Linked DNA regions of Schizosaccharomyces pombe. The gene in region 1 interacts genetically with each later gene. Each region holds a gene or a part of one and is shown in the gene's direction. Other genes may lie near its edges.

What was found.
Region 2: mutations in pfd2 (region 1) and ste24 impair growth when combined (synthetic growth defect), as found in Schizosaccharomyces pombe (2 studies listed by BioGRID, with this or other methods).
Region 3: mutations in pfd2 (region 1) and pef1 together harm fitness less than expected from each alone (positive genetic interaction), as found in Schizosaccharomyces pombe (2 studies listed by BioGRID).
Region 4: mutations in pfd2 (region 1) and fin1 impair growth when combined (synthetic growth defect), as found in Schizosaccharomyces pombe (2 studies listed by BioGRID, with this or other methods).

Annotation. Positions count from the first base shown.
Region 1 is NC_003424.3:512,116-519,505, forward strand, and holds pfd2 (prefoldin subunit 2), read left to right. Parts: upstream 1-1,686; 5' UTR 1,687-1,715; coding exon 1,716-1,743; intron 1,744-1,792; coding exon 1,793-1,883; exon of another isoform or gene 1,884-1,930; coding exon 1,931-2,054; exon of another isoform or gene 2,055-2,128; coding exon 2,129-2,230; 3' UTR 2,231-2,436; downstream 2,437-7,390. Other genes in the region: fol3 (folylpolyglutamate synthase), read left to right, coding at 1-945; putative misfolded glycoprotein sensor Yos9, read right to left, coding at 2,437-2,967, 3,107-3,367, 3,419-3,493; rna4 (Prp4 family U4/U5/U6 small nuclear ribonucleoprotein complex subunit), read left to right, coding at 3,682-3,718, 3,781-5,132; Fe-sulfur cluster assembly protein Isu1, read right to left, coding at 5,750-6,328.
Region 2 is NC_003424.3:1,935,652-1,943,559, forward strand, and holds ste24 (putative CAAX prenyl protease), read left to right. Parts: upstream 1-3,298; 5' UTR 3,299-3,338; coding exon 3,339-3,353; intron 3,354-3,423; coding exon 3,424-4,743; 3' UTR 4,744-4,886; downstream 4,887-7,908. Other genes in the region: mug151 (transcriptional regulator HCNGP-like protein), read left to right, coding at 1-146; protein Mdm31, read right to left, coding at 425-583, 685-2,331; SPOM_SPAC3H1.06C (transporter), read right to left, coding at 5,366-7,135.
Region 3 is NC_003421.2:682,869-690,235, forward strand, and holds pef1 (cyclin-dependent protein kinase Pho85/PhoA-like Pef1), read left to right. Parts: upstream 1-4,866; 5' UTR 4,867-4,885; coding exon 4,886-4,913; exon of another isoform or gene 4,914-4,964; coding exon 4,965-5,803; downstream 5,804-7,367. Other genes in the region: sts5 (Dis3L2-like 3'-5'-exoribonuclease), read left to right, coding at 1-694; DNA polymerase epsilon Dpb3, read left to right, coding at 1,960-2,079, 2,181-2,324; pgl1 (6-phosphogluconolactonase), read left to right, coding at 3,033-3,217, 3,336-3,924; NatB N-acetyltransferase complex catalytic subunit Naa20, read left to right, coding at 6,700-6,777, 6,835-7,299.
Region 4 is NC_003424.3:1,352,451-1,361,768, forward strand, and holds fin1 (NIMA-like serine/threonine protein kinase Fin1), read left to right. Parts: upstream 1-1,770; 5' UTR 1,771-1,909; coding exon 1,910-1,969; intron 1,970-2,237; coding exon 2,238-2,261; intron 2,262-2,307; coding exon 2,308-4,392; 3' UTR 4,393-4,734; downstream 4,735-9,318. Other genes in the region: nucleoporin Nup40, read right to left, coding at 1-786, 974-1,209. UniProt on the Schizosaccharomyces pombe protein: Promotes chromosome condensation and nuclear envelope dynamics during mitosis. Activity appears at metaphase-anaphase transition.

The DNA of each region.
Region 1 (7,390 bases):
TTAACTGCTACTGCGTTCCAATGTTTTCATCATTCAGGTGTTCGTGTGGCTGTAATTGAAACAGGAATGGGTGGTCGTTTGGATGCTACTAATGTATTTGAAGAACCAGTTCTTTCAATAATTTCACGTATTTGCTTGGACCATCAAGCATTTTTAGGAAATACCTTAGAGGCTATTGCTAAAGAAAAGGCTGGGATCTTTAAAAAGAATGTTCCGTGCGTGGTTGATGGGTTAAATGAAGTTAACGTCCTAAATCAATTAAAATTAAGTGCAGAGGAAACGAGGGCACATCCGTTTTATTTGGCAAAAGGAAAATCAGGTGAAAACAAAAATGAGTGGATCATCAATACTCCAAATTGGGGAACCAATACTTTTAGTACTCCATTGAAGGGGGATTATCAAGGACAAAATTTGGCTTGTGCAGTAACTGCTCTCGATATCCTTTCTTCGTCATTTTCAATTATGCTTCCCCATGTACAAAATGGTGTAAAAAATACATCTTGGCCTGGAAGGCTTGACATTCGTTCGGTTCCTTCTTTGGGTGATATTTTATTTGACGGAGCACACAATAAAGAAGCTGCGATTGAGCTTGCGAAATTTGTAAATTCGCAAAGACGTGAGCACAATAAATCAGTATCATGGGTAGTAGCTTTCACTAACACAAAAGACGTTACTGGGATTATGAAAATCCTTCTTCGTAAAGGAGATACCGTTATAGCGACAAATTTTTCTTCAGTAAGTGGGATGCCCTGGATTAAATCAATGGAACCTGAAGTTATAAAAAACAGTATATCTTCGGAATCTTCTGTGGAATGCTATACTGCAGATAATCTAACAATAAGCGAAATTTTAAGACTGGCAAAAGAGAAGAATTCCAGCGTAATTGTATGCGGTAGTCTTTATCTTCTAGGAGACATGTATCGTTATTTAAAACTGGACGTATAGCCTCTAAATCGTGCTGTTTACTTTCATACGTTTTTCCTTGTTTGACAAATTTATCATATGAATTGTCACAGAGTGATGAATTGTGCTCTAGAGAATTTTGTTCCATGACTTAAAAACTAAAATTTACTTTCAAAGAAGCTTGAATGATGCTATCAGGTTAATAGAAAAAAGATAAAAGATTTATATTAAGCTTTGATGGGTTTTTGGTGTGAGTTAAGATATTGAGTTAGAAATTGACTTATAGATTACGAATACATTAGTTTAAATACTTGGTGCGCTCTGCCTGCAGCCTTAATAAAACAGATATTATTTTCATTATGTGACTAGATCTTGATTTACAATTCTTACAAGATAAGGTGGGATAACTGAAGCATATTTAGCACATTGAAAGATTCCGCCTTTCTTTTAATTATTATTAAATACTGTCGTAACTGCAATAAAATAAGTAAAACGCTGAAATCGTTAAAAAAATATACCCTTCTATCTCACAGGTTGAGCTAATCAAGTTGATATACGTATAGTGCAAATGATAGGCATTTAAAAATTAGACTAATATAGTTTAACTATTACATTAATTTTAAAATACACAAACATTTAATTACTGTTTTAAAATTATACTCAGAGTCTAATTAATTACAGATTTACCGTAATCCATAGCGCTTGTTATCTATCATTACAGCAACAATGATTGCTACGCACTAAAATTCGTATACGTTTTAGATATAACATGTATAATCCACCAACATTTTTTGAGTATACAAAAAAGCAGAATGGCTGAACAACCTTCTCGGCAGCAGAGTATGTACTGTGGATGAGTTTAAAATACAAAATAGTTGACCAGTTCCAGTTCTACAGACGCAGTACAATTCATATAAGTCTCGGTTACAACAAATTGCGCAGAAGATTGTCGATTTGGAAACCGATGCTGACGAACATAAGTATGTGATACATAAAAAATTTTTAAATTAAATACCTAACTAAAAAGACTTGTTATGGACACATTAAACTCCATGGATAATAATCGACGTTGTTTTCGAATGATCCATGGAGTGCTAGTGGAGAGAACGGTGGGAACTGTTGTGCCTATCCTTAAAACTACTCAAGAAGGGGTAAGGAATTTTTTTATTTTGACCCTTTATTGTCAGATGAATTTTTGGTCTTGATGTACTAATCAAAATATTAGATTCAAACAGCCATGAATGGTTTGCTCGACCAGTATAAGCAGCTCGAAGCAGAATTCCAAAAGTTTCAAAAAGACAATAAAATTCAAGTCGTTAGACAATAATACAGATGACTCCATTAATTGCGCAGTTGCGTTCATTGACACGCCGACTGTTTTTCAAGTGCTTTATCTTCGGTTTAACATTTTTTTCCTAAACAGAGGAACAGGGATAGAATCCAAGAGTATTTGTGTCATCAAATATCATCACTTTATGTTATTAGAGTTTCACTTAAACCGTAGACTTAATACATGTAGTAAGTTAGGTAGAACTAACTTGATTGCGTCTCTACCTCCTTCACCTCAGGCGGAGATGTTTGAGCAACTTCATCAACAACGTGCTGGGAATCCTTATGGTCGACTTCGTTTGATTTTTCTTTAATTACATTATAGCACACAATTTTTTCAGAGGGTATGTCCTCTTGAATTTTGAAAGCAGGTAATGAGCATAAACCGGGAACGTGAATAGTCATTGAATATGCACAGCTTGAAACTTCTTGATATTGAGTAATTTCAGGAGTATCCGAATTTGTACTGCATTCATAACTTAGAATTACGTGTCTTGGTCTCTTAGTAATGTCGCACATAGTCCCATTTCGGAAAGTTGTTTGCAAATATGCTTTACCTTCAACAAATCCAATAGCCCAATTTTCTTCCAAATTCTTTTTAGTTTGAGTGTTAGGTGCCGTACCAAGTATATACATAGGGTTAGCAAGGACTTTGTCAGAACCTTGCTGCGGCTCCAAATGATATTGACGCACGTGTTGACCGTAGACATAGTCATAAGTCCAATAACCACGATTCTAATACAATGATTAGCTTGAAAAACACTACATGTACTAAAAGTAGTCATTAATTCTAAAATTTTTATGGACATGTCAAATAATGACCTTTTAGTAAAGTTGGTTTGTTTAAGACAAATAAAACAATTAGAACTCGTACCTCGATTAAAAATACATTAGCAAGCTCATTGATTTTTTCAGTCCCTTGTATCCGCAATTCTTGTAAATCATAGCTTGGTTCGGTTGTGCTATTTTGTTTTATAAGAGACGCATTGGGATATACACAAAAATATTCATGCTTTCCAGCATAGAATAATGACGATAATTTAGTTTTTTCAGTTTTTTCTTTAATTGAGTCAATGTCGCCCTCTAATATTGACACATTACTCCATTCAAACGAATATTTAGGATATTCATATGCCTACAAAGGAAGTCCGTTAGAATTGAAGAGAAATTAGGTTCAAGAGCATACATCATTCCAGTCTAACAAAGAAGCTAAACATATTGGAAAAATAAAAAACCCCACAAAAGCAAATGGTAGCACCATAGTCCTAACTTTAGATGAGCCGATTGCAGGTAGAATCAAATGTGGAAACATACTTGAACTGAACATATGCGTTATATCACAGTATACCGAAGTGCGCAAAGCTCGAACAATTTACAAAAAGCTAAATACGATAGTGCGTAAAAAATAGTAGTTTACATTAGAGGTAAGTGTTACACGAGATTGTTAACATGAATGAAAACGAGGGCATTTCACTTGGTGAATTAGGTACGTTGCTACTAGAAGCATTAACTCCTCCTTTTAAATTTTAAACTAATAAAAAACTTTAGAAACAAGACCGTTTTCAGAAGGGATAACGCGGTTTACAAAAGAACAAGCAGCTTATTACGCGGAGCAAAAGGAAAAGGATCGCATTAAGGCTCTTAAAATTCCTTATGAAGATTCCAAAGTTCGTGAATATCTGCGTCGTTATGGTGAACCCATAACTTATTTTGGTGAAGATGCCTTAGCCCGACGCCAAAGGCTTCAGCAATTAATGATCGAAAAGTCCCTAGAAGGAGACAATCCATTAGATGTAGACCAAGGGGCTTCTGAAAATATTGAGAAGGAGACGTATGTTCAAGGAAGTCACGAACTATTAGTTGCTCGTAAAAAAATAGCTCTTTACTCCTTGGAAAAGGCAAAGCTCAGATTAAAAAAAGAACGGGAAATTTCCGAGATTCCAGTACCTGAAATTGTACTTTCCGGAAAGTCTTCAATCGAACATTTACAAAAGGCTGAATTGATGGGCTCTCAGATAGGTGGTGAGCGACCAATAGCCATTGTTAGATTCAGTAATAATGGAAATCATTTTGCTAGCGGAAGCTGGGGTGGCCAGGTCAAGGTGTGGAATTCTGATAACCTCTCAGAGGTTCAATTGTTTCGCGGCCATACCGACCGAGTTTCTGGTTTGGATTGGTATCCTCTATGTCAGGCATGGGATGCAGATTCTGAGCAGCTGACTTTAGCGACTGGAGCCGCAGACAATACTGTTTGTTTGTGGAAAGCAAGTCAATCTACTCCACTGTTACGTTTGGAAGGACATTTGGCTCGTGTTGGTCGAGTTGCTTTTCATCCAAGTGGTGATTACTTAGTTTCTGCCTCATTCGACACTACATGGCGGTTATGGGATGTACATACAGGCGTTGAGTTGCTTATGCAAGAAGGTCATTCGGAAGGGATTTTTTCAATCGCCTGTCAGCCAGATGGGTCGTTAGTTAGCTCAGGTGGTAATGATGCTATCGGTCGGATTTGGGATCTTCGATCAGGCAAATCAATAATGGTATTAGATGAACATATTCGTCAAATTGTCGCGATGGCTTGGAGTCCAAACGGCTACCAACTTGCAACTTCTTCAGCCGATGATACTGTGAAAATATGGGACTTGCGGAAAGTGTCATTGGCACATACTATTCCCGCACATTCTTCTCTTGTTTCAGACGTTCGTTATATTGAATCAGGTGTTAACAGATTCATCGCTACGAGTGGTTATGATGGCTGCGTAAAGCTTTGGAACCCGTTGAACTGCTCATTGATTAAAAGTATGGTGGGACACGAAGAAAAGGTTATGAGTGTTGACGGTTACGGAGACAGATTTATCTCATCAGGATACGATCGTACAATCAAGTTATGGTACCCTTAAATTTGGGTGTGGCAAACGGTTTTGGTAATGAGTTTAATATAGGCAAGACAGTCCTTTCTGACTATTTGCGTGATGGGCAACGAAACAATGAATATATATGAACATTTATATTACATGGTTTAATAGCTAGAAGATGATATTCATGTATACTACTAAAGTTTAAGCAAACACAGAAACAGCTTATAGTTTAGAAATAAAAGACTCTAAATTATTTTTCATTAGACGTATAAAGATTCGAATAAAATGCTATAGCAGGAACTAAAAAAAAAGGAAGGGGAAAATGTACAGAGTAATGATTTTTATAACCACAATAACAAGCAAATAAGCATCAGCAGCATTTTGAAAGAAAGCACTTGCATCAATTTAGTCCAGATACATATAGTGCAGAAACATTAATCAATATATATTGCTAAATGGGAGGAAGAATGCAAGCAAACACATAGACCATATGTTTACGCCAAAGTCGACAAGCAATCTTATGTGGAAAACACTGTTTACATGTACGCAGTTTAGGAATTAAAAGGACCGGGTAGAAAATTAGGAGGCGGGGTCAAAAAGCGGAGCGGAAATTAGCAGATTTTTAAACAGATGAAAGCTATGACTTTACAATCAAGTTTCTAAGCGGTAGCAGACTCAATAGCGCCAGCAGTTGTACCAACAGGCGTTAATTGTTTAGAGCGATAATGCTTTACAGCGCTTTTAATGGCATCCTCGGCAAGCATGGAGCAATGAAGTTTTACAGGAGGCAAGCAAAGCTCTTTGGCAATTTGGGTGTTTTTAATTTTAGAAGCCTCCTCAAGGGTCATGCCCTTGACCATAGTGGTAACGTAGGATGACGAGGCAATTGCACTACCACAACCAAAGGTCTTGAACTTTACGTCCTCAATAACACCATCCTTATTGACACGAATAGCAAGGCGCATAACATCGCCACAGGCGGGAGCACCTACCAAGCCGATACCCACATCGGGATCACCTTTGGGCAAAGTACCCACATTCCGAGGATTGTTGTAATGGTCTAAAACATTCTTATGGTACATACGACGAGAGACGTTTGCGGTGACTTGAGGGACGAATTTTGACGAGTTCGTTTTGAGAAACTGTAAATTCGCTGGACGGGCAAGAAGAGAAGAGCGTTGAGCCAAAATTGAAGGCAAAACGCCAACGCATTGAACGGAGCGACGGAAGACACTCATTTTAGGGAAAACAAAAGAAAAAAGAAAAAAATCAGATGACAAATCACGTCAAGATCTAACAAAATATCTGTATCACAAATCCAACTAGATTTGTTTTCAAAACGTATCAAGTAAAAGGCTTGAGTACGTTTTCAGTGTTTTTGGGGGATGGCAGGGAGTTTTCAAAGTTTCAGATTTTATCTGATCTATATAAAAAAAAATAACAGCTTTGCCTTTAAATCTCCTTATACGTAAATGACGTTAAAAAGTGTGTAAGGGTAACGCAAGGAAATTTGTAAACCGGGTTAATAAGATGACAATAACTATGTACACTCGATGAAAGGAAAAATCGATTCAACTATGTATCGACAATAAACAATCAAGACGTGGTTGAAAAAAATCGTGTCAGAGTTATGTAGTCTTATAGCACACAAAACGAATTGCTTTATTCAATGAAATTATTTTTCAAAACAACTTTAAATTTATGTTCAAAACGTCCAATATTAAATGTTGGTGAGTTGTATGAGTCAGTAGTGTTTGAGAGCAGTGCCTGCTATATATAGTGCAAGTCAGTCTTGAGTGTTTTCGGCCATCTTTATCTCATCTGATATGAGAAGAAATTCTGTTTGTCGAAAATGTGACTGTTTTTCCCTAACAAATCACAAAGCTAGCTTAAGGTGGATGGTAGCGAATAAAATAGGGAAGGCAATAGTGGCAAGCGAATCGGAAATGCGGTTTCAGCAGTAAACGCCAATTAAGGGACTAAAACGTAATCCGGTATTACTAGATTTACGAAGAAAAAGTTTTGGGGAGGCCACAACAAAGCAGTCTGAAGCTTATGCAAGTATGATGTACAGCTAGACAAATAAAGTTGTTTTCCATACACAATATGGAAATTCCAGTGTTCGATGGTGAAGGATATGTGTTCACAGTATATTCGAAACAAGGTTGTGGGATGTGGGATATGGAAATTGGAAAGAAGATGCCGTCCCCCTTTAACTGAGGAAGGAATATCAGATAGCAGGCAAGAAGTAGTTAGCGAGAAAGAAAGTAGTCAGTTAGGGAGTACAGGTGGAAGGGACG
Region 2 (7,908 bases), 1.4 Mb from region 1:
ATATGTGGGATCCAACGGACTTTCATAAAAACGTCTATGCATCCGCACTCTCTAAATCACAGGATGAAATGATTGCCAGGCGTGAAAATTACCAAAAGCATGATAGAACTGAAATTAAATTTCAAACCTCTCAACATCCTAAATAAATTTGAGTATCAAAAGATAATGTGTTTGTAAAAATAATTTCGTTACCGAATATATATAAGACTACTTAATTTAATACCTTAGCCTGTTATGAATAAATGATCCAGAAATGCCAATTTTGATAAGACATTTATATGGCTAGTAGCTTAAGTCATTAGTTTACCCTAGTCAATTTTCAAAAATAATAATTGTTATTATAATAATTTTAACTACCGATAGAACAAAAAAGCCTTTCATGAAGAGAATCAGAACCGTAAATAATAAATAGCATCACTTTTAACTATTCGAAATTACTGATTGAAGAAGTTGTCGGAGCCAATTCCTGCAAAGAAACCAAAACTAAATGCAAAAACCTCCGAAGACTCCAGTAGCCAACTTTCTGAATTCGTTTTCTTCGTATCTCTTGATTTAATACATCTCGAGCAAACGATTCATACACCTACATCAAAAATTAGTATTTATTAATATTCAAAAGCGTAAATTACTCTTAAATTTTAGGAAAAGACGCTCTTTTATAGTAAGGAACAGGGTAGAACTTACCTGCGCCGAAATTTCTTGTAAAACACCACTGTCGTAAAAAGTCCAGCTTCCATCAAAGTCAGAAAGCGGTTTTGATACATGACAAAGAATAGGGATGAATGTCCGTGTGGAATTAATGTAAGCAATAATAGGTCGAATTAAAGCATTGTTGATATAGCTTACTTGATTTGTAAAAATAGGAATTACGGCTTTGGGATTATGTAATTGCACATTAACATCAAAGTGAACGTCTTTGTAAACATCCTCATCTTTTTCTTTCTTTTTCAATTTGTCCATCAAACTTATCCACGCTTTTTGGAAAGAATTTTCCGAAGGTTCTGATGGAAAAGAAATATTAACTAAAAAATCAACACTGCCATCATTAATCCATCCAAATGCTCCCGAAACACCTCGATTTAGATGATCGATTGCGACATTATCAATACGCAAGCGACTATGTCGCATATCATCGAGTTGTTTACCGACTTTTAGGTACGGTGAATATGGACGAAGTTGTAATCGATGAATAGTAAACATACTATTATCAAAGCTTCCGGTGAGAGTCTTAGCATTCATTAAATCATAAAATAACCATTGTTTTCTAAGCCTAGGAAGCTCACAAAAGAAAACACTAACGGGGAACTTCCGAAAACCTTTAGGTTGTAATAAAGTAACACGCAAATCCTCTAGCTTAAATTTTTCGATTTCAAAATCCCCCCAGTTGTGTTTACGACGGTAATCACGAGGATCGGAGGATGGATCCCATTCAATAAACCGTCTATCAACTACACCTCTAACACCTTTCAGCTGAAGTTCCTTAACAATCCCTTTACCATTTAAAAACCTAGCAAAGCTAAACGAAACATCTGCCTTATCAATGGATAACTCAAATTGAGTATAGTTTCCCTGACTCAGAGCCTCAGTGTCAGGTTCCTCATTAGAATCATAACGTTTTCGTAAAGCCATGTACTCTTTTTCATAATCAGACTTATTATTCGGATTTTGTGCTCCAATGCCATTCAAAGTATCAGGTCTTCTAATTACGGAAATTTTGTTGAATGTGATTAATCCTTTCCTCCAATTGGGAACAATTGCGCTTTCAAAGACGAATTGGAACCCTGTATTTTTTGTCATTAACTGACCAATCCATCTTCCTAATAGTTCCTGTGCAGAAACAGTGTTTAAGGTGTACAATAACAATGAAAAAAAAGTTGTTGTACCAACTACGATCCAAACTATATGGCTCACAAGCCACCAACTGAAAAAGGCAGTAACATTATCCACTGTTAAGGGTTTGTTTTGCTTAAAAAGAAAGCTTTTCATTTTTTTTAATACGCGAAATGGCATTGCCCTTTTAACGCCGGAAGATTGATTTGATTCATTTTTGTTGAGAATCTCAGGGTTTTCAACATCTCCAGACGAGTAACTTCTAACCATAGATATTTGCTTAATAATTACAGGTGTAGTACGGGACAATATCCCACTGTTTGAAATATTCCTAGCTGCTAGTCTAGGAAGAGTAGGAAAACTCTTGAAGCTGCTAGATTGCAAAACGGTTTGCTTGAGTAAGGCATTTTGAGTAGAAGCACGAACATGATAAGAAATTAAATAGGGCTTACGGGCCTGAACAATCCTTGCTATATTCTTCGCAAGTCGTGATTCGAGCATCAACTTATGAGGTCAAATAAATAATACCTTCTCGAAAAGCACAATTAGTGTATATAATTACAGTCAAGACAAATTATTCTATATATGCTTCTGTTTTAAAGAAATAAACTGCCTGTAATGATATATTATAAAAGTTTCAATGCCTTTCCTGTATATGGTTGTCTGCAGAAAGAAAATAGGAGAATAACTAGCAAAGTTTACACTAAAATCTTTAGCTAAGATGGCAAAATATATAGAAAATAACGATGATCCATTCCAAATTATTATATATGCTTCTGAGTATACACTTTATAAATCAGATGTTTTGTACGAATGAGATGACATCGAATTATTACATACTTTGCTTAATTATAACAATTAGCTAACTAGCTGACTATAAAGCAACAACTGTATACACATTTTATACTAACTGCCTGCATTAACTACTAAAATTTAATTATGCTGGTTGAGTTATTAAGACTATTGCGCTTAGTTTGAATAGAATTCCAATTCATGTCCAAGGCATTAAGAAGCCGCCAAAAAGCATACTGTTATAGTAGTATTTAGCTTCTGAATATAACTTCACCGAGTTCTTTTCAAGATAAAATTAATTTTATCTTTACTTACATATTCCAATTCTTTATTTTCGTTAATTTCATCTGGCAATTTTAATGTTGTTGATGCAACGGCTAAATAGACAAAGAAAAGTTGAGATTTCATTTTCGTTATCTATGATATATGCGTTATGCCTGTTAAAAATATTTACAGAATCACAATCCATTTTTAACTGAATTAATGGACGCAAATTATGTATTAAATGTCTAGGTCTTATGCACACCAAGGTAGCATGCGTGCAACATGAATGTTACAATATGTTTCTCGCAAAAAGCTATTTGATTACTTCTTTTTGTTTTTTCTTCGATAGTTGAACTCTATTTATGTCACCTGGCCTTTGCTTCCTAAAAGAAATTTCAGTCATACAAGCTACACCAAAGCCTACTACAAGAAGTTTTGCCAATTGTTGTAAAATGGGAATTCTACAGGTATATAACGATTAGTTGATTTTTTATGAATATATTTGGGGTTTAAAACTTTGTATTAACGTTTTTATAGCATTTGATGCACATTTTAGACATTCCAGGCTTCCCTTGGAAAATAGTAATTGCTGGATTTTCTATTGGAAAGTATGCCTGGGATTTGTATCTTCGTCGCAGGCAAGTGCCATATTTGTTGAGAGAAAAGCCTCCTGCTATTTTAGCTGAACACGTTGATGAAAAAAAGTACCAAAAAGCATTGTCTTATGCTCGTGATAAAAGTTGGTTTTCTACTATTGTTTCCACATTTACTTTAGCCGTTGATCTTTTGATTATTAAATATGATGGACTTTCATACCTTTGGAATATCACTAAGTTTCCTTGGATGGATAAATTAGCTGCTTCATCCTCAAGGTTTAGTCTATCGACTTCGATTACGCATTCCTGTGTTTTCATGTTTGGACTTACTCTGTTTTCTCGTTTAATTCAAATTCCTTTCAATCTTTACTCAACCTTTGTGATCGAGGAAAAGTATGGTTTTAATAAATCGACTTTAAAGATCTTCGTAATTGATCTTTTAAAGGAATTAAGCCTTGGTGGTTTACTTATGAGTGTTGTCGTTGGTGTTTTCGTTAAAATTTTGACCAAGTTTGGTGATAATTTTATTATGTATGCATGGGGTGCCTATATTGTTTTTGGCCTCATTTTACAAACTATTGCTCCTTCTCTAATTATGCCCTTGTTTTACAAGTTTACACCGCTTGAAAATGGAAGTCTTAGAACACAAATTGAAGAGTTAGCTGCCAGTATCAATTTTCCCTTGAAGAAGCTTTATGTGATTGATGCTAGTCGTAGATCAACTCACTCCAACGCTTTCTTTTATGGGCTTCCATGGAACAAAGGAATTGTACTTTTTGATACTCTTGTGAAAAATCATACGGAACCGGAACTTATTGCAATTCTTGGTCACGAACTTGGTCATTGGTACATGTCTCATAATTTAATTAATACTATTATAGACTACGGAATGAGTCTGTTCCACCTCTTCTTATTTGCTGCTTTTATTCGAAATAATAGCTTATACACTTCCTTCAATTTCATTACCGAAAAACCTGTAATTGTTGGACTTCTCCTTTTTTCGGACGCATTAGGTCCTTTATCCTCCATCCTTACGTTTGCCTCCAACAAAGTTTCTCGCCTTTGTGAGTATCAAGCGGATGCTTTTGCTAAACAATTAGGGTACGCAAAGGATTTGGGTGATGGTTTAATACGCATTCATGATGACAATCTTTCTCCTTTGGAGTTTGATTCTTTATATACCTCGTATTACCATAGTCATCCCATCTTGGTTGATCGTTTGAATGCAATTGATTACACGACGCTAAAAAAGAACAATTAGGTTTCATGAGTGAATGAAATTATGTCAAATGCACGAATTTGCCTTAAAATTGTTAAAATATATTATGCTTACATATCTGTATAGAAAAATGATATTACTAGTAACAATGAGTAGCAACGATTCAATATGAACGTATACTAAACTAAATTTGAGAAATTGCAACATTCCTTAACGAAAATAAAGTCAGGGGGAAAAAAATCAATAAAAAAAAAGAAACATCAAAACAAAAAAAGACGATATGCAATAACTCGTAACAGCACATACAAAATTGGTTCATAAAATTTGAGTATGGTGGACAGCACCAGCAAATGCGAAATATCAAAAGCGAAGGGAACGTATGAGCATATTAATCAATTAACTAATTTAAGACTTGCCTAAAAATCCACTATTCATAGAAAGATATATCAGGAGGACAAATCAAAATTATGCTTGCTTACAATTAAACTTGCAAACATTAAACATTGGAAGTCGAATAGCAAAGCGTCTTCATCATTAAACGTAGGTGGAGAAAATTTCAAGCAGATAAACAACAGTGCTATAATTTCAATATAGCAAAAAGTAAAAATTGATAACCGGTTGTCTAGTGATTTTTCCACAAAGGTTTAAAAAAAAAGAACGGTTTTTAAGGAGCATCTTTGAATCCCTTATCCTTTTCTTTGTACTCCGTGACGCTTTGAGATAACTTCTCTTGCTTTGTAAAAAACGACAAAAGCATTCCTACTCCTGCAACTGGACAATTTACAATCCAAATCATACGAATGGCATTAGCATAGGCATTGAATACAAAGTTCTTTTCGCTTACGTTGGGAATTGAAGCAATTTGAGAGTATGATAGCCCTGCAGAATACTTCGTTCCTTTTAAAAGTGTCGTTAGTTGCTGATCATAGATTACCGCTCCCATCGATATTCCCACAGATGCACCCATATTTCTTAGCAGCATAAATGCAGAACAGGAAGTCGCTATCAAAGCAGGAGGTACAGAAGCTTGAACAGCAATGAGATTTGGTTGAAATAGATTTCCAGTTCCGACTGCTGTCAAAGCCAAGAATCCCATGGTACGTGATATGTCCGTGTTATAATATATCGCAATCATACTACCGGTACCAGCTAATAAAACTATCCATCCTCCAATCATTGGATATCGATAATTTTTCAACTTTCCTATTCCCATACCACTAACAGCAGAAAGAAGTGAGGATACAACCGCTAGAGATAATGTGTGAACGCCAGACATCAAGGGCCCGTCACCTTTAATGTTTTGGAAGTATACTGGGATGTAGTAAGTAATTGTTGAGACAATATAATAATGTAAAAAGGATGTTACCATTACAGATGTTAAAGAGAGCGTTTTAAATGCCGAGGGAGTAATAATTCTAGTACGGGTAGTATAGAATTCATTGACAACAAAACCGGCAATGCACAGGATACCAAAAATTAAATAGCACAAGACATTGGCATGGGCCCAATGACCTGTTGTAGATCCAATATTCAAACCAACTAAAAACAACACAACACCAGTCGTAATGGTAATAATGCCCACAAAGTCAAAATCACGTAAAAACACGCGAAACGAAACTGTAGGCTTGGGTACAAGATTGAGGAAAAAAATCAAAAGTGCGAGCGAAAGACCACCAGTAGGTAGATTAATGAAGAAAATCCACCGCCAACTAGCCTTTTGCGAAATTGCACCACCGATTAAAGGACCCATGACAGAAGCAAGGCCCCAGGTGACTCCCATACAACCTGTGTAGTAAGGTCTAGTCTGTAAAGGAGTAATGTCAGCTATAACGATTGTAACTAGAGATGTAATGCCTCCACCGCCGATGCCCTGCACAGCACGGCATAGTACAAGCCAAAGCATATTTTGGGCAGCACCACACATGGCACTACCGAAGAGGAAAAGAACAATGGAAGTATAGAGGACAATTTTCCTACCGACTACTTCACTCATGATACCACAAAATGGAAGAATTGAAGTTTGAGCCAAAGTATAAGCAGTACCAATCCACGAATACGATGAACCGCCATCGAGATTTGCTACAATAGTGGGAATAGCTGTAGTAATGACAGTTTGGTCCAAGGCGGACAGGAAAATCGACAACATAAGTCCTGGAATAACGATGTACATTCGATTGGAGGGCAACACGAGGGTGAAATCGGAAGAATCATCTTTCTCAGACGATGCTTCATGGGTTGAAAACCGAGACTTTAGAGAACTAGTACCATAAATTTGATCTTGGGCTGAAATAGAAAAGGCTTTTGATTTTGCAGGCTTTAGCTCGTTCACCTCATCAACGGTGGAAGAGAACCATGTTACCTCATTCCCTGTGCTATAGAGATTCAATCCTCTAGTCGGATTCAAGCTACGATTTGGAGAAGACGAAGGGTTCATAATATCTTGGAGCTGAGAGACAAATGCAATTGTAAAGAAAGGGGTTCACAATTACAAAATGCAAAACGAAATGAAGTAAAATTCAAAAAGAAAATAGTAAGGAATGCAAGAAAAATTAAAGTAATGCAATATAATGACACTCTTGATTAGAAATATAACAAATGAAGAAATTAAAGGATGAAAAACAACATTCACATAGCAGCTATAGTGCTTGAATAGTTTTTAAATGGAAACGGACGCATTGTTATATTAATTTACAATGGAACTTTTTGACGATTTACAAAGATAGGAGATTCCGAGGAAGCACGCATCAGGCTGAACTAGAATGCCTAGTGGCAGCACATAGATAAAGTCCATGCACAACAGTATAAAGGAAGTGCACAAAGACAAAGGCAACCCTAGTTGAGCATCAAAGGGATGAGTATTTGAGCATCCTGACTATGACTTTGGCATGATTTCTGAATGATAACTCCGTATACACTTTTGTTTGGAACAGCCACAATTAAACAAATTTTAGAACATGCAGTAAGGTTCAGTAAACAGAAAGAGAGAAACAACGATGCTGCATAGTGTGAACGAGCTGAGTTCGATCGTAAAGTGACAGTAGCGAAGAGACAGACTATTATTGATTGTTAGGTTGACTGAAAAAATTTACAAAAAATGAGGTATTTTGATTTGACTATAAACAAAGCAAATTTCAGTATTCAATCTTTAAGCAAGTTTCTTAGGAGAAACCTAGAAGCAATGCAATACTATAATGGTTAAACAAAAAA
Region 3 (7,367 bases), on another chromosome or scaffold:
ATTACAAAGTATGGCCATTCAGATGGGATGTGTTTTAGATTTGTCTTCGACAAAATCACTTTTACGCTCTTTAAGTTTGATCGAAGACGATACTGTTCGTAACATTTTGCAGCTTTATTATTATAAGGTTACCCCAAGAGCAGTTTATGAAATGCAGAAGTATAAAGGCAATCTCGCTTCCCAGATGATGAGTCTTGGTATTGAGGACGAAAGTGACGATTTGACACATTTTACAGCACCTTTGGAACGTTATGGTGATATTGTAGTTCATTATCAACTGCAGTTGCTTTTGAGAGGAGAACTGGCTTCTGAAAAGCGCCTTCGTGTATGGTCGCAAGCGGCAAACGATGCAAGCCGTCGTCTGGTTATAAGCAAATTTGCGCAAGAAACTAGCATTCATATAAAAATATTTAGTGACTGGGCGGAGAGTCAGGTTTGGCAAGACGGTCTCGTATGTTTTGTTGCTCCATCATATTTTGACGTATTTTTCCCATCTCTAGGCATGGAGAAACGTGTTCATTTAGATTTGCTCAATCTAACCCACGTAAGGTTTGAAGAGGACCAGGGCATTTTATCTTTATACGACGAGAGCGGAGCCGTTACAGTTGTTAAATTGTTGACCTCTGTCAAAGTTAAGCTCTTTGTGCAGCTTTCGACTCCACCTCTTATCAACGTTTCAAATGTCGAGTTTTGATGTTGAACTTCGATTGTTTGCAATGTTTATTTCATGTATGTGTTTTTTGGTGACACATGTTCATTTTCGGATGCCTGGAATGGCTTTATATTCTCATTCATATTATTGCTCTTATTATTAGGCATTGTTGATAAAAAATATGTTACGATTCTAAAACTGCATTTTTTCCCATTCTTACTTTTCTCTTTAATTTCGACGAAGCTGTTACTTACGTCTAATATTTGTTTCTGGAGATTTACAAGTTTTGCATAGCCAAGGAGCTCGAAAACTCGGTTTAATCTTATACACTAAGATGCCGATTTTTTATGTTATATAACTAAAAGGATGATTAAACTTGATTACGATAGTTCACGATGATAGAGTTGGATGAAGGAATCCAGTAGTCTCGATACGTGATTTTATGAGTGCATGAGTTGATGATACCTTGAACTTTTCCTTTTTTATACATTAGATTGGATTTTGTTTCAAAAATGAAATCCTGCTTTTATATTGATACATGTCACTTTGTTGGCTTACCAGTAGATGAAGTGTCGTTTGCGTTTGCAATCACTGCGGCGATTAGGCAATCAGAAGTGGATTCTTATCGGTCGTTTGGGGTTAGCTGAGTCTTTTATTTTTTGTTTCTTTTTTTAAAATGAATCTACTATTGGACGACATCTTAGCAATTTTCAGTTGATTTTTTGCAATTTAAGTTCATTTCTTACACAAAATATTCAAATTTATAGTTATGAAACGTATCCGGGATGTGTTAGTTACTCATGTCCTATTTTATGATATGAAAACGGCATAAGATATTAAAAAGAAAAGGATTCTACAAATATTCTTAGTGATTACTATTTTTCATTTTTAACGCTGCCTTGTTATATCGGCTTTTGTTTACCAAGTGTATTAACTCGATATCGAGTATATTTTGATGTATACGCATGCTATACTGATTATAAAAAATTATTAATCCACAAAGTCTTAGAAATTATGAGAACTAAATGAAATACTCTTTAAAAATAGAAAAAAAGTTAAAAATATTTATGTTTCAAGTTAAACAACAATGTAAGGTTCTAGTGGTAAAGTAAGTATGTTTATTATTAGGTCGCGACGCGAGAGTACTTCGTATTTTGACAACAACACACTAAAAGTCAGAAATCAGAAGGCTATAATTTTTTATAGCACTAGAGATTTTGGGTTATTTTATATTAGAACCTTATAGTTTAAGGGTATAATTGCTTTTTTCCAGTCCTTTAAATTGTTTCGGTCGATAGGATTGATTCATGGAGAAAACATATGGGAAAACTGTATTGCCATTGAGCAGAGTAAAGAGGATAATAAAGCAAGATGAAGACGTACACTACTGTTCTAATGCATCTGCTTTGTTAATTTCAGTAGCTACTGTATGTGTGTTGTTGATAAATCAGCTATCTGGGCGACTTAGCACCATTTTGATTGCATAAAAGAAAAAGAAAAATAAAAGCTTACCTATTTTATGATTTAGGAATTATTTGTTGAAAAGTTAGCAACAGAGGCTTATCAACTTGCCAAATTACAAAAACGTAAAGGAATACGATACAGGGACGTTGAGGACGTTGTACGTAAGGACGATCAATTTGAATTTTTATCAGATTTGTTTTCTATATAATTAAAAAGTGTGAGAACTGGAAAACGGAAGCTTAAGTGTTTCCTTTCTTGTTCAGAAACTTCCTCATGAAATGAAAGGAAACAATCATCTTGTCAGTAAAATGTGATTTAATGAATTTTATTTGAGTTTTCTTCTTCGTTTTCATGCTCTTGTGTCTTTTTATCCACAATGCGCATTTTCAAACAGCTTTATCAAACAACTACTGTAGCTATTTGGATAAAATAGAACACATGTTCTCTTAAATTGGGTTACCTGATTTTTCATGTTTCAATCATGACTAATTTGCGGCCTTTGTTAGCTACATCTATAAACAATCTTAATGATTAGGAAATGGTTAAACGTTTGAACTCGATTGAAAGATATTGAAAAGCTACCAGCGCCCATCTGTATATTCTTCATTTAATTCCTTTCTCAATATCATTTGGTTCATTTATTTAAACAAAAATGCAGAGAAGGTCGAGCTTCTTTATCTAATCCCAGCGATGCAGACGTATTGCTTGCTTCATGGTTATATTCTATACCTCCGCTACCTTGCCGTGATAATGCCGTAATCGTACATTACTATACTCGAAAACTGATTTAAGATTTGTTCTGTTCTAAATTTCCGACTACCGAATGAATTACGACACTCCACCTTGTTTCGTTAATACTACTCCATTACTAACAATTGCGCAAATACTGAAAGCAAACCAGAACCAAGTAGAAAAAATGTCGGTTTACTCATTTTCAGACGTTAGTTTAGTTGCAAAGGCACTTGGTGCATTCGTTAAAGAGAAAAGTGAAGCTTCTATTAAAAGGCATGGCGTGTTCACTTTAGCTCTTAGTGGAGGAAGTTTACCAAAGGTTTTGGCTGAAGGATTGGCTCAACAGAGAGGTATCGAGTTTTCCAAATGGTAAGTTAACAGATATTATATACTTTTGAGTTGTATGGATTCACTGTGGTTTTGTTTAGCTTTGGTTGACGTGAAACACTCTGTCTTAAGGCAATTTATGATTAACAGCTCTATTTAGGGAAGTTTTCTTTGCTGATGAAAGAATTGTTCCTTTAGATGATGAAAACTCAAATTATGCGCTCTGTAAAAAGTTGATTTTTGACAAGTTTGAAGGATTTGACCCTAAAAAAATTCATACCATCAATCCTGAGCTTTTGAAAGAAAATCCTATTGACCCTCAGAATGTTGCTGATGAATATGAAAAACAATTAGTGCATGTGTTTGCAAATAGCTCCACTGTTAAGGTCCCTGTGTTTGATTTACTGCTGTTAGGATGCGGTCCTGATGGCCATACATGTTCTCTATTCCCCGATCACGAGGTACTCCAGGAAGACGTTGCTTGGGTGGCCCCAGTCACTGATTCGCCCAAACCCCCTAAAGACCGCATCACTTTGACTTTACCGGTTGTCACACATGCTCAAGCCATTGCCTTTGTTACCACAGGTGCTGGTAAGAAGGATATTTTGCCTATTGTCATTGAGGATTTTACATCTAAACTTCCAAGTGCGCTGATCACTCGAAACAATTTGACTCGTACAAGCTGGTTTGTGGATGATGAAGCATCAGCCAATCTTGAGAGATCCTCTTTGAAGGTTTTCCCTCAATAGGCAGTTCAATTTAAGCAGGTGGCCTTTAGAATGCTTAATTGCTACATGCTTCGGATTCATTACTTGTTTCTTTAAGGTCTTTCAAGGGAAAGGTTGCAGTTCTCTTTTGTTGTTCGTGAGATTCTTTGCATAAACGCTTTAGATAATGACTTTCAAAATGCTTTCAGTCACTTCCGTGGAATGCTTGATGACCAGTTTTAACACATGTTAGTAGATTAGGAGAGAACTTGTTCCTCAAATCCTCTTTGCATTTGTTGTCTGTTTTTTATTTTAGACTAGCGTATAAAGGTTAGTCTTGTAAACAATGTGTAAGAAGCTAATGCTTTATTAAATTGTTTTATTGCTTCGTTTAGAATCATGTTTAGTTGATTGATATCACTGGCCAAACCCACACTGCAGAAATATGATGTTTTAATGAAGAAATGAATCATTGAAATATATAAACTTAAGCTATCTTGTATCATTTTTTGTTGGTGATAATGTTCTAAAATGTGTTTCATCAACAAGATAAAGTAAACCAATTGTTTTTGAATTGCAGTGATATAGTTTAGCTTCAATTCTTTTATTAAATCATTAATTCATTTTTAAAATTATGCAAAATTACGGCATTTTCTCATACTGCTTATGATAGATTTTAAGCAAAGATGGAAATTTATATCCAAAAACATGCAATTGCTTAAACTCTCCTTTATGTAAGGGTTTATTAATACTTATGTGTTTTCTACAGATGGCAACCTTCTGATTAATTATCATTAGGTTAATTTGTGATAGAAGCTGTAGTGATCTTAATTACAATAGTTTACATTATAGCAAGATGTTCGACATGACTCAATAGACTAAAAATTTTTTTTCTTAGCATATTCTTCAAAACTGTAGGTCTTAAAAACAGTTTTGTTAGCTTAACATCACCTTAAGTCGTTAGTCATCGTAGAGGAGGCACTTGATATTTCCATCGCACAACATGAACTACCAAAGGCTTGAAAAGTTAGGTAAGTATGAGTTTGAGGTCCCAAAATTTGCAATTTCATTAACTTAAGTAGGAGAGGGAACATATGCGCATGTTTATAAGGGGCAAAATCGAGTGACTGGTGAAATTGTCGCTCTCAAAGTTATTCGTATTGATGCAGATGAAGGAACACCTAGTACTGCTATCCGTGAGATTAGTCTTATGAAGGAGCTTAGGCATCCCAATATTATGTCTCTCTCAGACGTTTTGCAAACCGAAAATAAGCTTATGCTCGTTTTTGAATATATGGAAAAAGATTTGAAAAAGTACATGGACACTTATGGGAACCAAGGAGCTCTTCCACCTTCTCAAGTAAAAAATTTTACTCAACAATTACTCAAAGGGATATCTTTTTGTCACGAAAACCGAGTTCTACATCGTGATCTGAAACCTCAAAATTTGCTTATCAACAGTCGTGGTGAATTGAAATTGGCGGATTTTGGGTTAGCCCGTTCAATTGGAATTCCAGTGAATACTTTTTCAAACGAAGTGGTCACCTTATGGTATCGTGCTCCTGACGTTCTTTTGGGTTCTCGAGTATATTCAACTTCCATTGATATTTGGTCAGTTGGTTGTATCATGGCAGAAATGGCTACAGGACGTCCTCTATTTGCTGGGTCAAATAATGAGGATCAGCTACTAAAAATCTTCCGATTATTGGGAACTCCTACTGAACAATCATGGCCCGGAATTTCTTTACTTCCTGAATATAAGCCTACTTTCCCTATTTATAAAGCACAAGATCTCGCCTACCTATTTCCAACATTTGATCCTCTTGGTTTGGATTTGTTACGACGGATGCTTCGTCTACAACCTGAATTAAGGACGACCGGCCAGGATGCGCTTCAACATGCTTGGTTTTTAACCGCATAGGCTGTAAATTAACATCAAAAAGTTTAACCAAATTACGATTTTATTTATTCATTTCAGTTTCCTATTGAAATCATTAATTTTTTTTTTGGAAAGAATGCATTTCACCTAGGGAAAGAGCACAATATTTTTGGACGTTCAAATTTCTTCGCAACTGTTTTAGCCCAAGTAGCTATCCCTATTGATCTTTTTTAAACGAGGTTTAGAGGTAAATATTTGGTTATTATTTTGAGAGGATTTGAAGCTGTCGAATATATTTTTAGCCAAGAATTAAACGGCGTTTTATTTTCTACGATTAAAATATCGTCGCTGATGACATTCAAGTCGTAAATGAAATACTTAAAGAATTGAATGATCCGCATTGCGTCTGACATTTTTATGAAGGAGCAAAAGGATAATATTCAAAAAGCAATGCGGGTTTTTAGTATACTGATAATAATTTGCGGATTTCAAGCAATTATCCGCAATGCACATGAAAAACAATCTTTTTTCACTTATTTTTATTAGTGGATTAATGGCTTCCTTCCCTATTATTTAACTGCATGAAGGGATTCTCTATTAATGTTCTCTTTAACCATTCGACATTTTATGTGGTTTCTGTCGTTCATTATTCTTTTTATTTACTTTCATCTATACTCCATCTTTTCAGTTTTGAGGCATCAATGGTAGGAGGTGACTAAATTTCTTTGAGTTTCGTTTAGGAAGAAGGTTCAATTTGTAAACATGAAATAATAATTGTGTCTTTTACAATTTCTTTTGAGTTTTTCTACTCGCTTGGCCCAGCAATCTATTGTTTAAGGAGATATACGGATTTGGCTTATCGTATTTTTACGACATCTTCTACCTCGCCAAATCTTTTAGTTTTACCCATACTGCTAGAATTTACATTACATGAAAAAATGACTGATACGCGAAAATTCAAAGCTACTGATTTATTTTCATTTAACAATATAAATTTAGATCCTCTAACGGAGACCGTAAGTTACCATCTACCGTACTTAAAGCGGACTTTCATTAACTCGAACAACTTTTAGTTCAATATTTCATTTTATCTCAGTTATTTGAACAAATGGCCTAGCTTGTGTGTTGTACAAGAGTCTGACCTATCTGATCCAACCCTTATGGGTTATATTATGGGGAAATCAGAAGGAACCGGTAAAGAGTGGCATACTCATGTTACCGCCATTACAGTAGCGCCAAATTCCCGTCGTTTAGGCCTTGCTAGAACGATGATGGACTACTTAGAAACTGTAGGAAATTCTGAAAACGCTTTTTTTGTTGACCTGTTTGTGCGTGCCAGCAATGCACTTGCAATTGACTTTTACAAAGGATTGGGGTATTCGGTTTATAGACGAGTTATTGGGTACTATAGTAATCCACATGGAAAGGATGAGGATTCATTTGATATGCGGAAACCACTTTCGCGAGATGTTAATAGAGAAAGCATTCGAGAGAATGGGGAAAATTTCAAATGCAGCCCAGCTGATGTTTCATTTTAGTTCACTCTCTTTTTACAAATCTATTAACTAGTGCAAAGGAAGAAGATTTTTTTTTATATTAGGTAAAT
Region 4 (9,318 bases), 840 kb from region 1:
TCTTCCTCATCTATTGGCTCAGTTGAACCAAAACCAAATAAATAATGAAATAACCAATTACGAGGTTGATGTTTCTGAGAAGATTTAAAAATATCATTTTTGTGTTGAACAATGACTTTTTTACCAAGACCAGATTGGGATTGGAAATGGGCATCAGCATGCACGGGAATAGACATTGAGGTTTCGGAGGAAGAGGCATCCGTCATTTCCAAGTCTTTATTGCTGTTTCTTAACGTTTTCGGAACATGCTCCTTCGCTTCTGCGGGGCTGTATATACATCCAACCATAAAAGAGTCATTTATCAACATTCCGTTAGACAAAACTGCTTTGGCAGCAGAAGAAGGCTCAGCATATGTTAATTGTAGCCAGTTACCAGATATGGGACCCTTGGAGGGAGTGAATCCGGCACTTGAAGCAGTTAATGAATTCTCGCTAATAATAGTTCCAAAACGAGAAAATTCAGCTATTACTTGATTTGTCAATTCTGGTGGGAAACCGAAAACGATAACGGAGGTATTTGAATCTTGAGGAGCGCCAGACATGGTAAAAGAAGGGTCGTATACCTTTTCAGAGACAGGAGAAAAAGGGGAAGAACTTTGTCCAACATTGAGAGCATTAATTTGCCTAGAGGAAGAAAAGTCATAAATGGATTGAGTAGGAGGAGCATCTTCAATTAAAGATCCGGTACCTAAACGATTTGTATGCAAAAACGGTTTCGGTGTACCAAAGCTGGGTCCGCCGAATTTTGAAGAAGGGGGACTCGAGAGAGATAAACGGAAGGAAGAGCTATTTAGAGAAAATTAGTAAAGGTTCTAAGAGTTTATGTCTAATATTTAAAAATTCATAGGGATTAGGCTGAAGCTCTAACAAATTTGGATATAGATAGATATTAGGTAAAAAAGCAATTATACTAAACAATTTTTTAATCCTCCGTCTTCAAATGTCCCTTAAACTCTTCAAAGAAATTACTTACGATGACTCATATGGTTCTGCTAAAGGCGAGCTAACCTCTGGGGCAAATCGACGCTGCTGACTTGATCCAAAGTGTGAAAGATGACTGGGAACAAATTTTTTTTCTTGTGGAATGTTAGAAACAGATGTTCGAAATCCACGATATTCTTTTTGAGGAGAGGGCGAACGTAAATCATCGACAGAAAGTGGCTTTAAGGTTGATCGATTCGTGATAGAACCACTTCCCCCAAAAGACATGTTTCCGGCAATATTACTAGAGTCTTGTGATAGACTGTTGTGTAACATATGTTTTGCAACGTATATAAATTAGCGGTAAGTTCATTTGAAGGAGATGGCTTGCATGGAATGAATCATGAAGCCTAGCGTAGATCACTAAAACCAATTAACGCAAAATAACAGTTTATTGTTAATGCTATTGATTTTTATAAAACATGCAGATAAATCTTTTGAAAGCCTCAAACTAATATTAATACGTTTAGCTATTCATTTTTTTAAAACTTGATTTAAAGGACTCTGTTAAATTCCAAGCTCATTTACAACAAACCTTATACAATCATGTCATAAAAGGCATTATAGATGATAAAAATTCTCCACAACTTTTTCTCATTGCTTATTGAATAGCGTATCTTTTTCTTACAGAAATTAAAATGCGACTGGATATATATTATAATCGTAGCAATAAGCACCTGAAGTAACAGTGTTACTCCTAACCATGGCAACATTGTTTACACTTGATGATTTAACGAGACACTGCAGAAGAACCAAACATAAACATCTTGGCTTGAAATTCATATACTTAGCACTCAATCACTCCAAGCAGTATTTTTTATATTATTAATTGATAGAAGAATTTTTCTTTTTCTTTAAAGGTCCTACCGAGAAATTTAGTTTTATTTTAAGCTTACCTGAATCTCATGGGCTACTTCTGTTCTGAAGTATGGAAAAATACAAGATTCTTGAGTGTATTGGACATGGGAGTTTTGGAAGGATTTATAAAGTAAGTTTTAATCTTATTTTCACTGAAATTGGTTATTGGATAGCAAAATTCTTTCTTGTTTTCAGTTTATTTGCGAGCAACTACTTGTGGTTGGCAAATGAATCTATAGCATTGAATCAATTGTTTTCTTAAGAAACAGGGAAACTATATTGATTTAAATGCTTTTCGCTATTGTTTGTACTCTATTCAAAACAGTTTTTCAAATTGAAACTTTGATCGATATTTTTTTTTGCAACTCCTTTTTTATGCATTATGCTAACTATTATAGGTTCAACGCTTAAAGGATGGTGCTGTAAGTTTGAAAGCAATTTATTTTTATAGTTATTAATACTTTTTAGCTTTTGGCTCAGAAGGAAATACACTTTGGTAACATTACTCGGCAGGAAAAGCAGTACATCGCAGATGAAGTGAATATTCTTCGTAATCTTAAGCATCCAAATATTGTTCAATACTGCGGAGAAGAATTGAATCGTTCTGCGCAGGTAATAAACCTTTATATGGAATATTGTGGTCATGGTGATTTAGCCAATCTTATTCAACGTTATAAAGAAGAGAAAAAGAGATTTACCGAGCAAGAGGTTCTCAAATTTTTTACGCAATTACTACTTGCTCTGTATCGCTGCCATTATGGAGAAAATGCGCCTGCTTGTGACTCACAGTGGCCAAGAGAAATTTTTCATCCTAAACAATCTGTATTGCATCGAGATATCAAACCTGCGAATATATTTCTTGATGAAAATAATTCAGTTAAGTTAGGAGACTTTGGTTTATCCAAATTGCTGGACAATACGCGTGTCTTCACACAGAGTTACGTGGGAACTCCATACTATATGTCTCCTGAAATAATTCGGAGCAGCCCTTACAGTGCGAAGTCTGATGTTTGGGCTCTTGGCTGTGTTATTTTTGAGATCTGCATGCTTACGCATCCCTTTGAAGGAAGGTCGTATTTGGAATTGCAACGTAATATTTGCCAGGGTAATCTCTCCTGTTGGGATCATCATTACAGCGACGATGTTTTCCTTCTAATCAGGCATTGCTTAGAAGTTAATTCAGACCTCAGACCTACTACTTACCAGCTACTTCGCTCTCCTATTTTATCCGATATTCGTAGTAAATTGGAATCCGAGAGAGTAGTCTTGGAACAAAGCGATTTGCTTCATAAAAAACATCAGATGCTTATTCAATTGGAAAATGATCTCCAATTTCGCGAGCAAAGGCTTTCTGCTCGGGAAAGTGAACTCGAAAACGTTATAGCTTCTCGCTTAGCCCAACGTGAAGAGATATTGCGACGTGAGTTGGAAAAGCAACTGCGTGACATGGATGCTCGTTATCAAAGACACATGCAAACCGTAGTAAACTCTATGCAGAAAATGCGTGTTACAAGTCCTGTGGATCATAATGAACAACCTGAAAGCAGTACCGCTGAGATGTTTGTAGATTGTACAATTGAAGCATCACAATCCCCCCTACTTCATATTCCTAAGTTAGGAATTAGCAAGCCCTTGCAAACGTTATCGTGTCCGGGTTTCACTCTAACTACACAACAACCGATATTGAAAAGACCTACTCTCCGTAAAGAATTATCAAGCAGAGCCTTACATACGACTGCAACATTAATGAAATACAGAGCTAATGCGTCATCTCTAAGGACTACACCTATTGATAAAGATGGCCAAATTACATCGTTACAGCAAAAAAACGGCACGTCGAATCAAGTGGCGGATTGCATGAACAAGTTGCTGCACACATCTTTGGACGGAAAGAAGCTAAGCCCTTCTGAATTGTGTAATAAATTTTCAGACGGTGAAGGTTTACCAAATCGAAAAGTTAGCAAACTTAGCGTAGAGAGCGATGAAACGGCAGTGAGTGCTTCAAGTGGTGAATCCGTCCCGACTGATTCAACGTTGACTGATACGAAGTCAAAGTCTGTTTTTGTCCACCCACCTTCTCCGCAGAGTCTTTATGTGGAGAAACTCGAAAAGTTGAATATTCGTTCGGACGAAGTGTCGAAACCTTCGAAAGCTTCAAAAACCTTACATGGCTATGCTTTACCATCACTAGCGTCACCTTATGATGTTCATGCTGAAGAGAAGATAGCAAGAGAAAATGAAATGGATGGCAATTTTAAGACGATGAAGATCAATCAACACCCCGACGAGTATGTGTTACGGACTCCGAAAAAGATACAACTGTTGGAAGGACAAAAGCGGTCGCCTGTAAAACAGCTGGGAAGACTTGGTTACAACAAGCTTCGACGATCAGCGATGGACAATGCAGGATTGGAACTACGAAAGGCGGCATCTACTTCGAACTATACTAGCTTACAGTCTCGAACACTACCCGGGTCTTGGAGAGATGATGAAGAAGAAATTCCAAGACCCTTTCTACGAAAAATGCTTGACGCCCGAATGATGAGGGCTTAAGTAAAGTTCCCTAAGGTGCATTTAATTGTACGAGAATTATATTAGCACAAATGCGTACTAAAAAAAAAATACAGCAAAAAATAAAGGCCCAAATGTAAATGAAATTATTGAAATGCGTACCGTGTTGAACTTCCCCTAATTATAAGGATTGGTTTTCTATTTATTCAAAGAAATGAAACACTGCTGGTCAGCGTTTATCACGAAGTTTATTACTAATAAAGGAATACAAACACGATATTTGCATCTACAAGTTCTCGAATATGAGATGCTAGTAAATTGAGCCTTTTAACAGTACACATTTAGATGATTAGGAAATTTTGAATAACAATATTTTTCCCCAAATTCGAATGAGCCGTATTGTAAATGGAATTTAATTTTATAATTTTTGAAATAATATTACACAGAAACAAAAATTCATGGATGTAGTAATTAGAGAGAACCAAAGAATTAGCTAAAACTACGAAACGCCAGCCTTGACAAGAGAGACTGTTTTTTTTTTGGTGTAAGGATAAGTTGCGTAGATAATAAATGGAGATATACGTAAATTCGTATATGAGTAGATATCTGGTATCTGGAGAGATGACTTATCAAAAAGAAGCCGATTATGGAAGCGGCATCAAAAATAGTCTAGAAAGAAAACAAAGTGGAAGTAATAGAAGTAAAAAAAATTTTTACAATTTCGGGTGGCAGAAAAAAGGATATTAATGGTATACGAAGTGACACAAATAGGATTCCAAATGAGGGATGAATCAATTAACCACTTGACGGATTGATAATAGCAATGATGAAAATAGCAGAATATAGTACAAACTAGTAATTGACAAACACATATAAATACTTAGTTGTAATGTAGAAGTATGAAAGTTAGTCATTCATTGTTATTTCATTTTATTTACATACTTTGACTTAAAAGAAGTGCCGACACATGTTACTACAATCTTAACCCATTCTTATCGCATAAAATGTTTGTTTTGTTTAAATTTCTTTGTTTTTGTTTTTTATTTTTAGAGCTATCGAAAGTATCAAATTTTCTTTATGCTGCCAACTAAGGCCATTGGATATTAAAGTTCTTTCTTTTCTTTGAGAGATAAGTCAAATCACCAACTTGCAACCCCCATCTTTTTGTATTATCAACTCTCTCCCTATATCTCTTTACTCAGCACAATATTACTTTACACAAACCCTTCTCCATTCATCCTTAACTCTCTCTGATCCTTTAGAGTGGGATGAGAAGAAGCTTCGCTAGCTAAAACATATCCTATTATGTAATGGACTCATTATGATGTCTCGGTGAAGCAATATTTCCTTTTTCCACTGTATGTCAATACTTTACGTGGTATGTGATGATTATGCACCGCTATATGATATTTGTGCACTCACTTTTGTCATCCCAAGAACGCGTAATTTCCCTTATCGTAATGCATGCCATTTAACCTAATTTACCCAACATCTTCTTCAGCCTGTGTACTCTGTTACCACCTCTGCTTCGGCTGCATGCATAACCCCCACCAAGTACCTAGAACCCTCCACTACAACCGGGAAGTCTAATGGGTAGTGGTAAAGAGAGGTAGGTGATTAGGTTAAAAGGAGGTCTTTTAAGATAACAACGTGGTAATAACGCTGCTGACTCTATTTCGTAGTAGTTGTGACTTACTAAGTTTTAAGGCCAAAAACTGTCAAAACAGCAGTTGTCTTGTGGTCCGACAAAGCGGAGCAAGAAAGACGGGAAGGGAGGAATTAAGTGCCTTGGACTCCTCGGTTCAAATCAAATAAAGTAGGCACTTTTAAAAAACGGGACCGTTCCATGTAGTGGTGGAAGAAGAGAGAGAACCTTGAAAAAAAGAAAAGATAAATAACATATAATATTTGTGTACAAAATGAAAAAGATGGATTAATTTCAAAGTTAAAGTGTAAGAGAAAAAAATAAAGAAAATTTGTTATTTATCTCAACCAAAAAAAAAAAAAAAAAAAGAAAAAGAAAAAAAAAGTATTAAAGGATTCCGTCAGGTTTGCACTTGTTGGAAAGCTAAAAAATGTTTACAGATCACCGGATTTGGGCTAATTGCGTGGAATCCGTGAGTGCTGCCAAAGAGTAGCAGATGGGATGAGATGAGATGTGATGCGAATGTGAATGTGAATGTGAAAAATTGTAAGCCAAATGCTGTTTCTCACGATAAAAACTAAAGAAAAGCATACATTGAAAATTAGAAAAGATAAAACAAGAAAAACAGATTTGGTGCTTATGCGCTGGTCGGTAAAACAGTTTTCCTTGGACTGATAACAAGAGGGATGGATAAATAAACACGCTCGCTGATAACTTGTAAAAAATAATCAAAATAAGAGTAAATAAAAATGATAAAATAAAAAACAACGATAACAAGGGACGAGTGGGTGAAAGGAAATTTTATGTTTGCGTTTTCGTTGAACCAGCGCAGTACAGAAATACAGAAAGAATTGGGAAGTACAATAACAGCTGGGATGTGGGATGTGGGATTTAATGGTAGGCAGGATAGGGTAAGCAATGCTGGGACAAAGAGAAAGAGGTGAGGGGGGTGAAAAAGTTTTGTGAAAGAAAGGATTGTTTATGCTACGGTTGGAGAAGAGAGGCGAGGGGAAGTGAGGATGGCTTGGATGTAGTAAGGATAATAGGAAATTAGAAATAAAAAAAAAAAAAAATTTGGATATGATACATAAATGGTAAAAAATAAATAATAAATTAATAATCATAAATTAAAGAAAGAAAAAAAAAAGTAAAGAAAGCAACGGTGAAAGTAGTTGAGGAAACTCAAAGAAAACAAAATAAACCATAAGAAGAGGAAAAGTGTTCAATCGTAATAAGAAAAAAAGAAATCAAAATATATTTAATGAAATTATAATAGCAATAAAATAAAGATTATACTAAATTCATGAATGATAATAAATAATAAACAGAAAAATTTAAAGGGCAAAAAAGTAAATTATAAAAATTAAATTAATTATAAGGTAAAATAATTTAAAAATTTTAAAGTACAATAATAAAAATTCGAAATATTTGTTTATTCAATAAACTAATGGAGAGATTTTCCATATTCAAAGTTTTGTTTCATTACTAATTTATAAAATGATACTTTTACTTTTGATTTATTTTATAAATTTTATTTTTTGCTTTTGATTTAATGTATTAATTTTATTTTACTTTTATTTTTTCACTCTTCAAATTCTTAACCATTCGCGTCTTTTCATCGCATCGCCCATCATATTTCCTGCCCAACAACTGTATTCATCAATAATATCGCTACTTTCATCCTACATCTTTGCCTTCGCAAGTTGCGCAAGCTTGCTCGCCATTTCGAGTGCTGATGGAATCAGCGATATCGATGGAGTTAGCGATGCCATCACAGAAATTGCAATTTTACACATCACAAAGTAAAACAATTAGCAATTCTTTCAAAATATCCATCCACTCCGCTTAAAGAAATCATTTCATCTTCATACCACCCCATTATCCCACCTTCTCTGATGGATAGTGGAATCCGCCTTGAATGTCTCTCTCTCTTACTATTACTTGCTTGGCATCTGAGCTGAGCCAATCCAATGTCGCTTAAAGCAGCCCAAAACTTGGGTAACATAGCGAAGAAACGCAAAGAAAAAAAAATTTCTTATGAGGAATCAGAATCTATCGGAGCCATGAATCATGGACACCACTTTCATATTTTTGGAACAAAGCAAGAAAACCTCTAGAATAGATTGGAAGCAAATTGATCCAACTACCACATGTCCTTCATATCCCCCCCCAAACATCATTCATCTATCCCTATGAGCCTCCTTCCTCAAATCCTTTTCCGCATTGCCTTCCCCTTCGCTATACCTAGACATTACAGAATTTATCCATCCCAATCTTCCGCCCCCTCCCAATTTTCAACTGCTAAACCTTGCTCTGATCCAATTTTTCCATTGTTGAGGCCTTTCTGGATGCAGCTTTCCAAACCTTTCAACGTCCCGGCTTGACTTAACTTCCACGTCTTATCATTCACAAAATCGGCAGTCCAAGACGCCAACTTTACCGACGCGTTTTACCCCATTGAAATTATGGATGTTTGCTTTACGCAGTGGTGTGAAATCACGGTGGACTAACGTTTGATGTGCAAAGGATCTCGTTGTTGCAGATAGTGTTACCTGCCACTCTCGGTAACAAATGTGGTTGACAAGCCGCGACTGATGTTTATCTCATATAATCATAGATCTGCCACAATCACCTTTTTTTTCCATTCTTTGCATATATAACATCAGTCATCTCTCCTAAGAAGAGCCGGTCGTCCCTCTGCTAAGCAACCATACAAAACATAACGTTCATCCTTTCTTTTTTGTTACATTCGTCTTCCTTTCTTCAGCCTAGATAGAATTGGTTTGGTGTTTGTGCTATTCTCAATTTTCCTCGTTTTGGATTGTGTTTTTCTTGTTTTGTTTGGGAATCATCATTCATCCATTAACATCTTCTTTACTTTTTTTTTTCATCGTTCATCGAATCCTACTTCCTCTTGACACATAATTAGTCTGCTGGTTTCTTTCTTCCTTCCTTTAAACATTTTGTGAAGAATCTCGTAACCTACCATTCGGTGCTGCTGTATTATAAATCTAATCTATTTGATTCGCTACGGATCTTTCTCACCTTAGACCTTTACTACCTGAAGGGTTCTTTTCTTCTTCTTTAATTCTTTGTCACGATATATTATAACTTTTCATTTTCTTTTTATTTTATTTTATTCTATTTGCTTGTCTGGGTTTAGGTGCTTTGTGTTCTCTTTCTTCTATTCTTTTTTTCATTGTTCCAACTACTCTGCTGACTGCAATATCACGCCTCTTTGAATTCTCGGGAAAAGGCTTATCTACTTTTCCTTTGTTTCATTCGTCTGCTGTCGCCCTGTAGCTTTAACGTTTTCTAACTCC